Coturnix japonica: one gene and its partner. The protein of the gene in region 1 binds, or shares a complex with, the protein of each later gene. Links are inferred from orthologs where the notes say so. Each region holds a gene or a part of one and is shown on either strand. Other genes may lie near its edges. The genes, in order: INTS7 and INTS12.

Region 1 (7,150 bases):
CTTTAATGTTGCTGTCCTGCTGCTTTGGTCTCTGTATCTCTAACAGTACCCAGCATTATAATCTTTTCTTCATCTTCCTTCAACTCCTGTGTGACTGAATTAAAATGTGAACAGAGCACTCCTTCTCCCTTGCTTATTCATTTCTCCTATCTATTCAGAACTGTTTCTGTTCTCACTGTTGAAAGATGAGAGTCATTAACAGAGGTTTGGTTTATTATCTCACACACCCATTTCTTTTTATATTTTTGAGATTATGGTTTTATGCTTTAGGATCTCAAAAAAACAAATGATGAGAGACTGATGTTTGTTTGCTTCATTATAGTCACTCTCTAGAATTTTCCCTTTCTTAGTATGTAGTTAATTTTGACTTCTCAGACATGTATTGATTCAATTTGAAGATTTAATGGGAAGAATAGAAAAGGTAGAAACAACTTTGTAAATGCTATTTTAATTCTCCTAAACTACCAAAATGACTGACTTTTAAATCGCATGATATATATTGATATATATTTGTGTATGCGTGCAGTAATGCATTTTAGCATTAAATCTGTTGCGCTGATATCAGAGCTTGGGCACAAAAGTGTCTTTAAAAATGGTGTACCCCATGCCATGGTGTGCTCCTCACTTTATAACAATTGTTTTCCACTAATGATACTCCAATATGGTTACTTTTTTGTTGTTTGTTTTCATTAAATGACTAACAGAAGGCTGATACCAGCATAATCATGTTTTAGCAATATGCCTGCTGTCAGTGTGTCTTTGTTTCTGTAGTGAATGTAAAAGAGCCCTCATTTATATAAAAGCCAAGACTTTAAGCCAGTCCTTCTGTGCTTCCCTTTGATTTCATCTTGCATTACTTCATAGTCAGTCATTGTGCTTGCTCCTTTTCCTGATCTGTGTCTGTAGGATGTTGGGCAGCATGGCGTCTATCATTCCAGAAAGGAAGAATGCACATCACAGTATTCGCCAGAGTTTGGATTCCCATGATAATGTGGAAGTTGAAGCTGCTATTTTTGCTGCTGCCAACTTTTCTGCACAGTCAAAGTAAGGTGGAATTTTTTTCTCCCCCGTTTTTCACATTGCAAAGAATAACAGCTCCACTGTTGCTTACTGAACTTAGTATTTTCTTCAGTGGTGGTAGAACATCCTTCACAGCTGTTATATGTCATGATAATAAGTGTAAGGAAGTCTGAATTCGAGTCTAAAAAAACCTATGAAACTTATTTGAAAGCTTCCATTTTATTATTTGATTATGCACCTGTGTAGGGATTCTAAAATAACTAAGTTTTGGCAAGCATTCTTGTGGTGGTTTTTATTATTAAAATTCATTGTTTGGTTCTTCTGTTGATTTTTTTTTTTTAGCCTGTTTGCTTTCATTTCACTTGGTGCTTTGTCTTTTTCTCTACAGGGACTTTGCTGCAGGAATATGTAACAAAATCAGTGAGATGATTCAAGGTATGTACAAATACTGAGTGATGATATCCAGGGCTTCTTTTTTATACATAAGTATATAAAATACCTCTATACCATTGCCCTTACCCCAAATAATGTGTGTCTTAGTACCAGAAAAAGCCAGTACAATAGCCTGACAGTGTCTCTGTTCCCTGTTACAGGTTTAGCCACACCTGTGGACTTGAAATTGAAGTTGATCCCTATTCTACAGCACATGCATCATGATGCTAGCCTGGCCTCCAGCTCCCGGCAGCTGCTTCAGCAGTTGGTAACATCATATCCTTCCACCAAGATGGTCATTGTTACTCTGCACACGTTCACTCTGCTTGCTGCTTCTTCTTTGGTTGACATTCCTAAACAGGTAATTCTTCTTTCAAATGAATCTACAAAGCATGTTTAAAACAAAACAGGGATTATTGAGGATAAACTGTGATCTTTATCTTGAAAGACTGAGTCTATTGCTACAGCTTATGTTTTTAAACCAAGTCGTGAGAAAGCATTGATGAGCAAAATATAATGCTTTTATGTTTAGATAATGGGCTTTGTGATTATGATTCATATAGCAAGTATGAATGCACAGTGACATTTGAGGTTCAACTAATTATAGTAAAGTCATAAAAATCTATTGACCTTTTAATCCATACATTTGTGGCAGGCTGGTGTCTATTTGACTTACTGCATTGATTTGTTTAAAACTTCTTGGGATGGCTGACTTTCAGGAATAGTACTGAATTTGAGCTAGCTGAGACAACATTCAAGCACTTCACATGCTCTTTATGAAAGTAAGCATGGGCTTACAGGCTGTATTTCTGCAACACAGCCGCCTATGTTGTACATATAAATCAGATAGCCAGGGTGTGTGGATTTCTTATTATTTTTTTCTGAGACAGAGTGTATATCTGTGCTGCTCTCTGTTGACTGCAGATCATGCAGAAATGCCTGAAATACTTGCTACTAGTGTAATCGTGACAATGCAAAGTGTTGTCTGAGGTCCTTGGGAATGTTTTTACCAGTGTTTCTATGAGAGCAGGAATAGCACTTAGGGCTTCTCGGGGCATGTGGGGAGGTGGCAGAGAGGTGTGCTTGAAGAGACAGGAGTGAAGGATGGCAGAAAGCAGCTGTTAGATTGATTCCACTTGCCAAGGAACTGCAGTGCAGTCTTTGCCATGTGGGAAGCAAGCAGGCAGGAAACACATGGCAGTTTCATATGAGTATTTTCAAAATTCCTTCATGAATATTCTTGAATATTTATATAATATCTTTATAGTACAATCTCGTCCCCTTAAATGATGAATTTATCTTGTTACAGGTCCAGCTTTTGTTGCAGTACTTGAAGAATGACCCCAGAAAGGCTGTGAAGAGGCTTGCAATCCAAGATTTAAAGCTGTTGGCTAACAAGATGCCACATACATGGAGTAGAGAAAATATTCAGGTTAATACATTTTTAGGCAAAAGTTTGTTATGAAGCTTTGCAATTAGTTGTGGAATTCCTTCCAAGAGAACAATTTGTGAGGGAAGGAAGCAAGAATATGTGCCTCTGTGTGTCCTTAAATTAGGCATAATCTACCAAGCAAAGTAGCCAAATATAAATGAACAATTGAAGTAATGTAACTGAGGAAAAGCATGTGCTGTTGGCTTTAGAACCTGGTGCTACTGATACTTAGAGCAGTTTGTTAGGATACGTGCAAGATGTTTTCTAGATGCTTGCCAGATGAGCAAGTTCTGGTTTGATTTCAGTTTTGCCTGTTTTGGTCATAGGCCCTTCCTTCTTACAAACAGGTGCAACTAGACCTTTAATACAGATAGTTCATGGAACTTCCTTCCATTTGTATCTTCTCCCTTCTCTTGTAGGCACTGTGTGAATCTGCTCTTCACACACCGTATGACAGTTTGAAGCTGGGGATGCTGTCAGTTCTTTCCACATTATCAGGGACCATTGCCATTAAACAGTACTTCAGCAGTGCTCCAGGTAAGAAAACCAGATTAGATGATAATTCTGGGCATTTTTGGTAATTAGCTGTTTACTCCAGAATAGTTTATAGTAAACATTGTTGCATATTCTGAAAGTATTACTGAACTTCAGGGTGCTAGTTGAGGGTCAAACTGTGTTTATTGTATCTGAACTTGAAATGAGAGAGCATGCACCAATGAACAGTCACTGGTTAAGATTCTGTTACAGATCTTGTGGCTAATAAGCTCTGTGAAAGTTTTGTTTACCTTTGGATTTTCAACTTCTTGACATAAACTAAAGAAACAGTTTGCCTTTTTAAATGGTCAGCCTGTGTTCTGCTTAAGGCACTTTGAGACCACGCATTTGTGTAGTGTTTTAGTTTGAATGAAGGGAGCAGTGAAGCATAGAGGCTTTGTAGTTGAGAAGAAGCAGGCATTCTGAAATGATTAAAGGTATCTCATTCTGAAAATGGAAATGATACTGTCTGTTATGTCTTCTTGAAAGGCACTATGTCTTAATGAGTATAATGAGCCCAACAACACTGGCTGCAGAAAAGAGGAGAAACAGTGTGTTTTCATCAGTTATTCTGGCATGTCTTAATATGCTTGATAGTTCTTTTTTTTTTTTTCAGTCATTAAAATCTTTGGGATAAGTCTAAAGATCTCAAAGTTCCTGAAACATGCAGGTCTAAAGGTTGATACTCTTTTCTTTTCTTAGATGTCTAAGTTGCATTTAGGAAAGAGGAGAGAGTCTCAGTGTTAGCAGGTGTGTAGGAATATATGTTAAAATGGTAGGATAAAAACATATGAAGTAAAATAAGTAATTTTAAGAAACTGAGCACCACAAATCAATATAGCTTTAGTACGGGAATATACTTGAAAATTTCATAGTCTAATTAAACTTTGTGCTGTTATATGTCTGGTTTACCTTGTCTTTGTTTAGGAACAGCGACTACAACTGCAAGATCATTTGATTTAGTAAAATTAGCACAGGAGTGCTGTTACCATAATAACCGTGGCATTGCAGCTCATGGTGTGAGAATTCTGACAAATATATCAGCGTCTTGTCAGGAAAAAGGTAAATGAGAGCAAGGACAATGAAATAAGTTTATTTGCAGTCAGGCTTATGCACTTAACATACATTGACTGGTCTTGTCCATGAAGTTTTCTGTGATTCTGGTCCTTCATGCTGGTTATGGGGACTATATAATCTCTGCAAATGTTTTGTGGAATCTTGTGAATGGTTGGGAAGATTCCATCTTCTACTCATTTATAGAAAATTAATGGACACAGTAGAACTGCTAAAATAAATACTTTTGCTATGAATCACTGAATTGTCTGTTAGCCTTTGGTAACTCTTGGCACAAAATCAGCTGCGAAGGAATAATGGAGCATTTAGGAGTTGTTGTCCAGAATTTTATGCTCACCCTACAAATGTCACGTTTAACGTGAGTGCTGAATAATTACCTGAGACAGGATTGCTTCCAATTAAAGCGAGTCAGAATTATTAGGAGAATATTCATCTGTCATCACTGCAGCACCACTGTAAGCACTATGTTGATTAAAGACGGGAACTATAAAAGGGAACTAACTGACTGTTACTTTTTCTTAGATCTTCTGCCTTTGGAGCAAGATGCAGTTTTTGGCTTAGAATCTCTTCTTGTACTCTGTAGTCAAGATGACAGTCCAGGAGCTCAAGCAACTTTAAAGGTGACCATACTGCTGTATTCATTAGCACAGCTATAAGTTACAGTAATGGTTTCTCTAGCAGAAGAGCTGAAGTGTACCGCTTTTCTGTGGTACAGCTATAATGAAACAAACTTGAACAGGGGGTGGAGGTGTCTCTACAGAATGAAGGAATTCTTGGTAAGGGAGAACCCACATTTTCTGAGATGGGGATGCAATCTGCAAGATAACCATGTTCTTATCAACTATTATTTTTATTGTCCCACTTCATTATCTGCTGCTGGTAATTGTATTTAATTATGTACCTGTAAAGGCATGAGAAGAATTGTTTCTTGGTGTCTTTATGCTTTGAGTTTGGAGATAGAGGCTTATGCTCTAAGGAAATCTCCTTTTTGTGTATTTCTGTAATCACACTTGCAGCAAAGTGTCTGTTTTGGTATTACTTTTAAGTAGGCATTGTATTAACTGTATCTGTTGGTGTTTGTGAATTACAGATCACCTTAACTTGTATGGTAAAGTTGGTCAAGTGCCGTCCTCACCTGAGCCAGTCGGTGGTTGAATCTCTGTTGACGCAGCTGCACAGTGCTCAGGATGCTGCTAGGATTCTCATGTGCCACTGTTTAGCAGCTATTGCCATGCAGCTGCCTGTATTAGCAGATGGGATGCTGGGAGATCTGATGGAGCTCTATAAAGTGATTGGACAGTCTACTACAGATAAAAAACAGGAACTCTTGGTAAGACCTCCTTCAGGAGAATAAACCTTGATGGACAAAATCATAGATAGAATGGTTTGGATTAGAAGGGAGATTTAAAACCATCCAGTTCTATCCTCCCTGTTGTGATCAGGGATACCTTTCACTAGACTAGATTGTTCAAAGCCCCATCCAACCTGGCCTTGAACACCTCCAGGAGTGAGGTATCCATCGCTTCTTGCAACAGCCTGTGCTTCACTACCCTCAAAGTAAATAATTTCTTCCTTTTATCTAATCTAAACCCACTCTCTTTGAGTTTAAAGCCATTATTCCTTCTCCTATTACTACATGTCCTTGTAAAAAGTCCCCCTCCAACTTTCTTGTTGGCTACTTTTGGCAGTTCTGCAGGTGGGGTCTCACAAGTTCAGAGCAGAGGGAAACGGTCACCTTCCTTGACCTGCTGATGACACTGCTTTTGATGCAGCCTGGAGTGCTCACCATGTCCTGGGCTATATCAAAAGCAGTGTCATCAGCAGGTTAAGGAAGGTGACTGTGCCAATCAGGACATGGTGGGCACTATGGGCTGCAGTCATATACTGCACATATTGTGCAGTATATTGTGTTTGACTTTAACACCACCTAGCCCTTTTCCTCAGAGCTGCTCTGAGTCCATTCTCTGCGCAGTCTGTGTCTGTGCTTGAAATTGTCCCAACCCAAGTGCATGATGTATCCTTTGACATTATTCAATAAGAATTTCATACAGGCCTACCTCTTAAGCCTGTCCAGGTCCCTCTTGGTGGCATCCTTTTCCTCCAGTGTGCTGACTGCACCTCACAGCTTGGTGTCATCAACATGCTTGCTGAGGGCATACTCAGTCCTACTGTTTATGTCACTGATAAAGATGTAACAAAGTGCCTGCCCAGTACTGACCCCTGAACACCTCTTGTGACTGATGCCCATCTGGACATGAAGCCAGAGAGTGGCCATGCAGCCAATTCTTTATCCACCAAGCATTCCATCCATCAAATCCATCTCTCTCCAAAGAAGAGTTGAGAATGTCGTGTGGGACAATGTCAAATACATAGAAAATAAGTACAGCTACCTCAATATTAGTTCTTCCTTCACCTACCAGCATTGTAACCCTGTCTACATAAACTACTATAGATAGCTTTTTTCCTTCCAAAGAGGTAACCTAAAGCACTTGTTAGGTCCAAGTTGATGTGCCAGCCTATAGTTTCATTTTCAGGTTGTTGTTTTCTGTTTTTTTAGATAGTTCAGCTCTATGAGGTACGATTTCTGAGTTGAGTGTTGGCATATGTGGTGTTTTCCTCTAGTTTTCCCAGCAGATGGCACTGCTTAGACAAACTTAA
Region 2 (7,150 bases), on another chromosome or scaffold:
GGATTATCAAGAATGTGGAATGCTTGTTCCATTTATGTAAGAACAATGAGTTTAGTTTCTGTACAGCTTTGTTCCAAAGAACAAATTTGCTATCCCTTCAGATGCAAAGCCAAATTCAAGTTCTTCTGCTCACAAGTTCACAGTTGTCTTCTAATAATTAATTCACATACTACCTTTGCTATGTTTCAATGTGACTTTATCTTACAAAAAATATTTTGCAATCTAGTTAACTACACACTGTTTGACTGAGGCTTCATAAATATAAAGTTCTTCCTTTTTGTTTTGTGTCGGTTGGTTTTGTTTGTCTTCCTACAAAGACACCACTATGGCTGCTGCGGTGAACATGGAGCTTGATCCTATTTTTCTGAAAGCCCTGGGCTTCTTGCGTTCCAAGAGTAAGGATTCTGCAGAAAAGCTGAAAGCACTTCTTGATGAGTCTTTGGCCAGAGGAGCTGATTCAAGTTATCGTCCATCTCAGAAGGTACTAGTATTAGATAACACAGGATAACATTTTTACATGCCTTTACAGACCCGACTATTCCTAGTTCATTTTGCTAGACAGAATATTTGAATCTGAGATTAGCATATGAAAACAATCAAGTGGGTGCGTTTTAGTACTGCTTTGTATTGCCAAATAATTAATGAGGTAGTTTTCTCCCTTAGGATGTTGACAAGTCAGCCAGGTATGTTCTGATGATGGTCTGTATTCACACATGTTAATATTTTCCTTCTACAGGTACTTCTTAAATTATCAAAAAGACAGTATTGCTCCTGTGGCATACATGATGCTTGTACTACACAGTCTAATTCTTTTCTATGTTAACACCCTGAAACCTAAACTACAATTCTCTGTAATAACACAGGTGTTATGACTTTCAGGAGCTTTTTGTCAGAACTGAATAATACCACAGAGAGGCTTGGGAAGCTGATTGCTGTAGCATCTTGGCAAGTTGTCACTGTCTGCATGCAACAGGAAATTGGGAAAGTTGATGGGGCTGACTTGAAGCTCAGGGCTCATCTCAGTACACAGCAGGGAATTAGCCACTTCCAACCATGTTGGAGGGATATCTTTCTCGTGCACAATGCTCACAATGCTATGATTGATCTCTTGGTTTTTTTTTATTATACATTGCTGATGCTAATGCATCACTAATAAGATCTATCAGTTTCTTTTGAGATCCAAATTATTAAACTGGTAGGTGAATGTGAACTGAGATTAAGACTTGCCTCCATAAAGGAACGATGTATTGATGTCCAGCAACAGCACATGTCAACTTACTTTTAGCATAAATCTTTTTATCTGGGAGATGAGTGTTAAGGGAGATTTTAATAACTGTAGTTTAAGCCCAGTGATTTCTGGATATAAAAGGACATAAGAAATATTTAGAAGAATGTATGTACAGTTGAAAAGTGTTGTGTGACATTTTGTTTGCCTAAACTGTGATCTAACTGCAAAACAGGAGATAGGGATTGATTTTGATAGTTCATTTTTTTTTCCCTGTTTTTAGGAAGTAGAGCAACCAAAAGTATGTGTTACCAAACCTGTTTCCAGTAAGCAAGATCCTAAAGCCTCTTCTAGTTTGCCTTCTGGTAACAACAATGGCAAGCCTACCACATCAGAAAAGGTGAAAAAAGAAACAGAAAAGAGGTCTGCTGATAAAGTGAGTCTAATTTTTGTTCTGTATTGATGTAATCTGGCTAACAAATTAGAAGCTGTTTTAGTAAAAGCTCTCTTCCCATGTAGTCTGTGTAACTCTTGCTAATAGTGCATAGCCTACAATCTGCCTTGTCAAATCATGTTGTTTAGGCAATCCAGTAAAGGTCTAGTTAAAATTATTTCATAAATACTTTAAATACACTGACAAGTTATTAAAATGTAGCAGCCTGAAATGTGGGTTTCTCCAACGCTTTATCAAGATTTTTGTAGTGAAGCATAAAAAGTGGACTTGAGTTTCTAATTAATGAATATTTTGGAGTAGATGTATCAAAGGAAAATATGCTGCGTGTATGCTTTGTAAATATACATTTTTATACTTCCATCTTAAGTGTTGTAGTAATTTTTTCATTTTAGTAAGGTCAATCAGCTTTCTGCTTTTTCATACTCTTTCCCTATAGATGAAAGGGGATGCTGCTGAAGGAGCTGATGTACCAAAGAAGCCCAGACTTGAGAAGCAAGAGACTCGTTCTTCTCCTATTACAGTTCAGACAAGTAAAGATTTATCCATGCCTGATTTGTCGAGCTTTGAGGAGACCAGTGCTGATGACTTTGCTATGGAAATGGGTTTGGCCTGTGTCGTTTGCAGGTAAATCAACAGTGTTTCATTGCAATAATATATTTACTTTTGGTTGGTTTTTGCTCACGTAGCATTCAGTTAATTCTACCCTGCAGGTTGTATTCTGGAAATTACTTAAGTACAAATACAAGATTAGTGATATATGTAAGCATTCTTCACAAATAAGAATAGTTGTTTGAAAATGGAGCCTTCAGTGAATAAAAATGGCTCTTCTTCAGGAAAGAGCAGGTATAGGTTTCAGTCAGCTCAGTGAGCATACTTATTCTCATGTATGCATGGCTACAAGAACATAGGCAGGGAGGAAGGTGGAACTGGCATTTACTAGCTGGACTCTTAGAATTATTGTATTCTAGCTCAGCTTAAGCCAAATGAGAAAGCACGTTTTTGAGGTGTCTCTAGTTCATGGAGGAATTCCCATTGTTGCAGCTAATTATACTGTTAGCTAAGTGTAGAATGATGAGATTTCATGTCATTATTCCCATGTGTTAGCTCAAATGTTTAACTTTTTGTTATAGACACTAAAAAAGGAGGAACAGTTCAAACACCTGAAGAAATAAATCTTTCAATTTTCCTACAGCAGTAATTATAAAATAGCTCTTATTAAAGTGATGCTAAAGAGAGGAAGAAGCATATCAGGAGGAAACTCATTAGAGGATGTTAGCAGTCTCACAAGACTTGGTGTTTGTTTTCATTGTACATGAATCCCGCTGGTACCAATGCCTTCTGGTTCTCAGTTTCCAACTTAAGTTAGATGGATTGTTTTTCAGAACATTTATGTTTCAGGTTTTCTAAATCCAACATATTTGTTAGTACTGCATTCCACTACTTACTGCTCAGCTGCCAACCTAAGGTCCCTTCCTGGGGCTGGGTATCTTAAGTTGAAATACTAACATTTGTTATCTATTGTTATCTATGTAATCTATTTCTGATTCTGTTCTGCTGGGACAAACTAGGCACAAAGAGAGTGCTAATATAACCTCAATCTCTTCAATAATTTTAGGTCTTAGAAAGACAGGACTCAACAGTTACAAGGATCCTCAGTCATATGAAGAAGTAATACTATTTGTAGTTTGCAGCTGATAGTAAACCCTGACAAAAAATTAAAGCCCATTCCTGAAAGAATGACCCTATTTTTTAGGAATACTTGTTTGTTTTCTGAAATTAAGAGATCATTAAGTTTGCTTTTCATTCATCAAATTGTTTAAAAATGAGACTGGTTTAACTTGATTCTGGGAATGAAGAGTTGAGTGTTTTGTTGTTTTTTTTTCAAATTAGTCTGCAGTTGTCTTTGGAACTTTAAAATAGTGAGTCTTCTTGCTTGAGACATAGGGTTAAAGCATCACTGCTTCATTTTTACCCCATTTATTTAGGAATAATAAGCAAAATGGCTTTTGAAATTTCCTGCATCTCTAAAGGGGTGGTAGAATTTTAGAAGTCTTTTGTTTTTTCAGGTAGCCCATTTGAAAGAGAAATATTCCTTAGAAAATGTTCTAGTGTCCGTGCGGACAATACTTTCAGACTACTTTTTCTTCTTATAGAGAAATAAGATATTACCTTTCTGTACCCATCTACAAATAGAGTTTCCATGGTTACCTGGGTACCTGCTCTTCAGGCTTATGAGCCAAAGCAGCTTAGCAATTAAATAGCCTGATTTGTCATCTGAAAAAAAGAAATCATCAGGAAACTGATATTTGGCTAATTTAGACACATTCACAGTCATGTGTACATCACTAATTTGTCACTCATACAGCACGATCACTTTCACCAGAGTCCCACAGCAGAATTAAGTCCTTACCAGCTTGTGTATTTGCTTCAAAACAGAGCTTCACAGTTAATCCTCTGTGTTCCATCTTTTCAAGATTTTGGTATTATCTCGAATTCCAAGTGTCTGTTTGTAGGAACCAAAAGGATAGCTAATAAAACATCAGTAAGTTAGTATAGAGTTGGGATGGTGATGCTTTTGAATCATCCATCAGAAGAAAGCACTCTTACATACTCGTCAGTGCAAAATTATCTGTTCTTGAACTGCATTGCTTTGTAACTTGCAACAAAATTATCCAAATGTAGGCTAGCTCTTTGGATGCTACTGTAATATAAAAATCAAACAGAAGTACAGGAAGCATCATGTATGCCTGTTTCATAATATTGAAGTTTTTAAATTTAGGTTCTCCCATGAAAATCTAACAATTCATAGTTTAAGATATTAGGAAGAAATATCAGCATAGCTCATCTGCTACAGGTAGAAAATATTCATGAAAGCAAAAATATTTTTATTTTTTATCTTAAGCTTTGCAAAATTTACAGCATTTGGATTATCCTTGAAGTGCTTTTTCCAATAATCTGTTCTTAACTATTTGCTCTGCAGACAAATGACCGTTATTTCTGGGAATCAGCTAGTAGAGTGTCAGGAGTGCCATAATCTCTACCACCAGGATTGCCATAAACCTCAGGTGACAGACAAGGAAGTGAATGATCCTCGACTTGTATGGTACTGTGCCCGCTGTACCAGACAGATGAAGAGAATGGTAGGAGCCAGGTTTTTTTTGTCTAGTATGAGCACTATTGAAATAGAGCAGGTTATTTCTTACTATGAGTTACAGAAATCTTTGGTAGAATGTTGGAGAGCCATTTTTCTCGCTCCTTATCACCTGTACCATATTTGATGTGGCCTCCACACCTGCAACTTATTACTGCTTTATTTCTCAGTACTTTTCAGTTTCAAATTGTAAAGGCTAGACTGCAATATGATAATGCTCATGCTTTCTTAAAGCAGAATTGTAGGATCTCTAACTAGTTTTGTTTTGTTTTTCTACCACTCAGGCTCAGAAGACACAAAAACCACCTCAAAAACCAGCTCCAGCCGTGGTTTCAGTTGAACCAGCTGTGAAGGATCCATTGATCAAGAAATCTGAAATTAAATTGAAACCTGAGACCCAAACAACTTTTCTAGCATTCAAGAGAACAGAAGTGAAGGTAAAGTACTATAAATTTTCTAGAAAAGAAGTTTACATTTTACTGTATATCTCTTTTTTAGACACATTTTCTCACAAGCACAATGAATGAATGTGGTCTGCTGTACTATTTATACTGAATGGTAATACAGCATAGTGGTTTTGCATTAGCATCAAAAGAGTATGGGGGGCAATACCTCTATTCAGTTGTAAGTCCCTGAAACATTCAGTATTTTTATGTTAAGAGGGACAGAACAGAATTTACTCTAAGAATTTTTCTTAACGTTATTTTATACAGGCAGGATTTTATACAGGTCCTCAGAACACTATAAAAGATAATATTTATTCTCTGTGGCCAAGTAATGTACATATATTTTGGTAGTTAGTCTTCTCCTCATGGCAGTAGGGAAATACAGCTGATTCTGTAGGGTCTAATTTAGAAACTTGAGACAACATATATTAGCTTTCTACTTCTTTACCAAGTGTTGTTTTTTCATACCTGTTGTTGCAAGTTGGTTAGGATGATAAACCAGAAACAGTATACTAAATGACAAAGAATTTGAACAGTGATGCTTACTGAAGGAACTCACCTGTAACGCAGAGTCAAAGCAATCATTTATGTTCTCAGATGTAAATTTGCAGTTGTGCTGCTTAGGTGGAAACTGCTCTGAATGACATGATGGCTTTTTTTCACCATGGCCGTAAACTAGTATGAGTCTGGTTTTAATAAGTCAACATCTGTATTATCCCCAGCTGAAAACTGGGGATTGGTTGAGGTTTGGGAGCTGCAGGTAATGTATACAGTGTCTTGCATTCAATGGAAGCTTTGTCTGGAGAACATTTGTCTTTTGTGGTGCCTGAATGGAAAGACTAGAGGAAAGAAGTCTGATGACTCAGTTTCTTTAAAACTGTGTGGTGGGGTATAGGCTGCTAAGAACAAAGATGGGTAAAGGAAAATTTTGATTCTTATACTTTAACCAAAAGAATGCAATAAAATGCAGTGTTTAATTACTAGGGAGCTGTTGTTTTTCTGTTGCTTTTTTTTTTTTTTTAATCTCAATATCTGTTATCTTGTGACACCAGTTAATGGCAAACAATAAAAAATACCGGCTTGTCTCCTGTGTTTATACTTCACAGGTCTGCACAGTAGTTATTTCAGTAAAACCAGTTTTAAAAATTTATGGGGGGATCTCATTGCTATATAATAGCCTGTGTAGAAAAAAAGGTATTGGTTTTATTTGGCTGGGAAATTTAAAGTTATTGGCACCTGCATCCTTTTCTTTTCTTGTTACTGCTTTTTTTAACTACAGTGACCAGGGATGAAATATTGTCTACTGTGTGTTTCTGGATAAAGAACTAAAACAGAGGCTCAATCTCATCCTGCTATGATGTATTATACAAATAAATGCTGCTATAACAAGAATGATTTATTTTTTTTTAGCCCTCAGCAGCAGTTTCGGGGAACTCAGCCAGTACAAGTGTTTCCTCTTCAGCAACCACAAGTGGCCTTACAGGATGGGCTGCTTTTGCAGCCAGAAACTCCTCTGCCAATCCATCAACTGCCAAACTGGGATCAACAGCACAGAATGCCAGTGGGAAACCTGCAGCAGCTTCAAATAACCAGAAACCTGTGGGTCTGTCAGGGTTGGCAGCTTCCAAAACGGGACTAGGGTCAAAAATAGCTTCTGCTAACAATAGCACAAGCCCTGTTCAGCTGAAACCTCCTCCACCTCTGACATTGGGAAAAACCACTCTTAGTCGTTCGGTAAGTAGCGACAATGTTAGCAAAGTAGGCCTTCCTAGTCCCAGCAGCACTGCACCAAGCACCAGCAGCCAGGTGAGCAGTGGGAATGGCAACAGTGGGACTGCAGGTAGCAGTGGGGGTAACACAAGCAAAACTACAGC

What was found.
Region 2: INTS7 (region 1) and INTS12 share a complex: the UniProt entries of both Homo sapiens proteins name them as parts of the integrator complex. The link is inferred for Coturnix japonica from reciprocal best matches to the Homo sapiens genes INTS7 and INTS12.

What each region holds. Positions count from the first base shown.
Region 1 is NC_029518.1:19,454,640-19,461,789, forward strand, and holds part of INTS7 (integrator complex subunit 7), read left to right. Parts: intron 1-906; coding exon 907-1,044; intron 1,045-1,408; coding exon 1,409-1,455; intron 1,456-1,613; coding exon 1,614-1,813; intron 1,814-2,761; coding exon 2,762-2,884; intron 2,885-3,303; coding exon 3,304-3,421; intron 3,422-4,345; coding exon 4,346-4,480; intron 4,481-5,014; coding exon 5,015-5,112; intron 5,113-5,582; coding exon 5,583-5,822; intron 5,823-7,150. UniProt on the Homo sapiens protein: Component of the integrator complex, a multiprotein complex that terminates RNA polymerase II (Pol II) transcription in the promoter-proximal region of genes.
Region 2 is NC_029519.1:34,249,622-34,256,771, forward strand, and holds part of INTS12 (integrator complex subunit 12), read left to right. Parts: intron 1-317; coding exon 318-481; intron 482-1,508; coding exon 1,509-1,661; intron 1,662-2,115; coding exon 2,116-2,303; intron 2,304-4,659; coding exon 4,660-4,819; intron 4,820-5,114; coding exon 5,115-5,267; intron 5,268-6,686; coding exon 6,687-7,150. UniProt on the Homo sapiens protein: Component of the integrator complex, a multiprotein complex that terminates RNA polymerase II (Pol II) transcription in the promoter-proximal region of genes.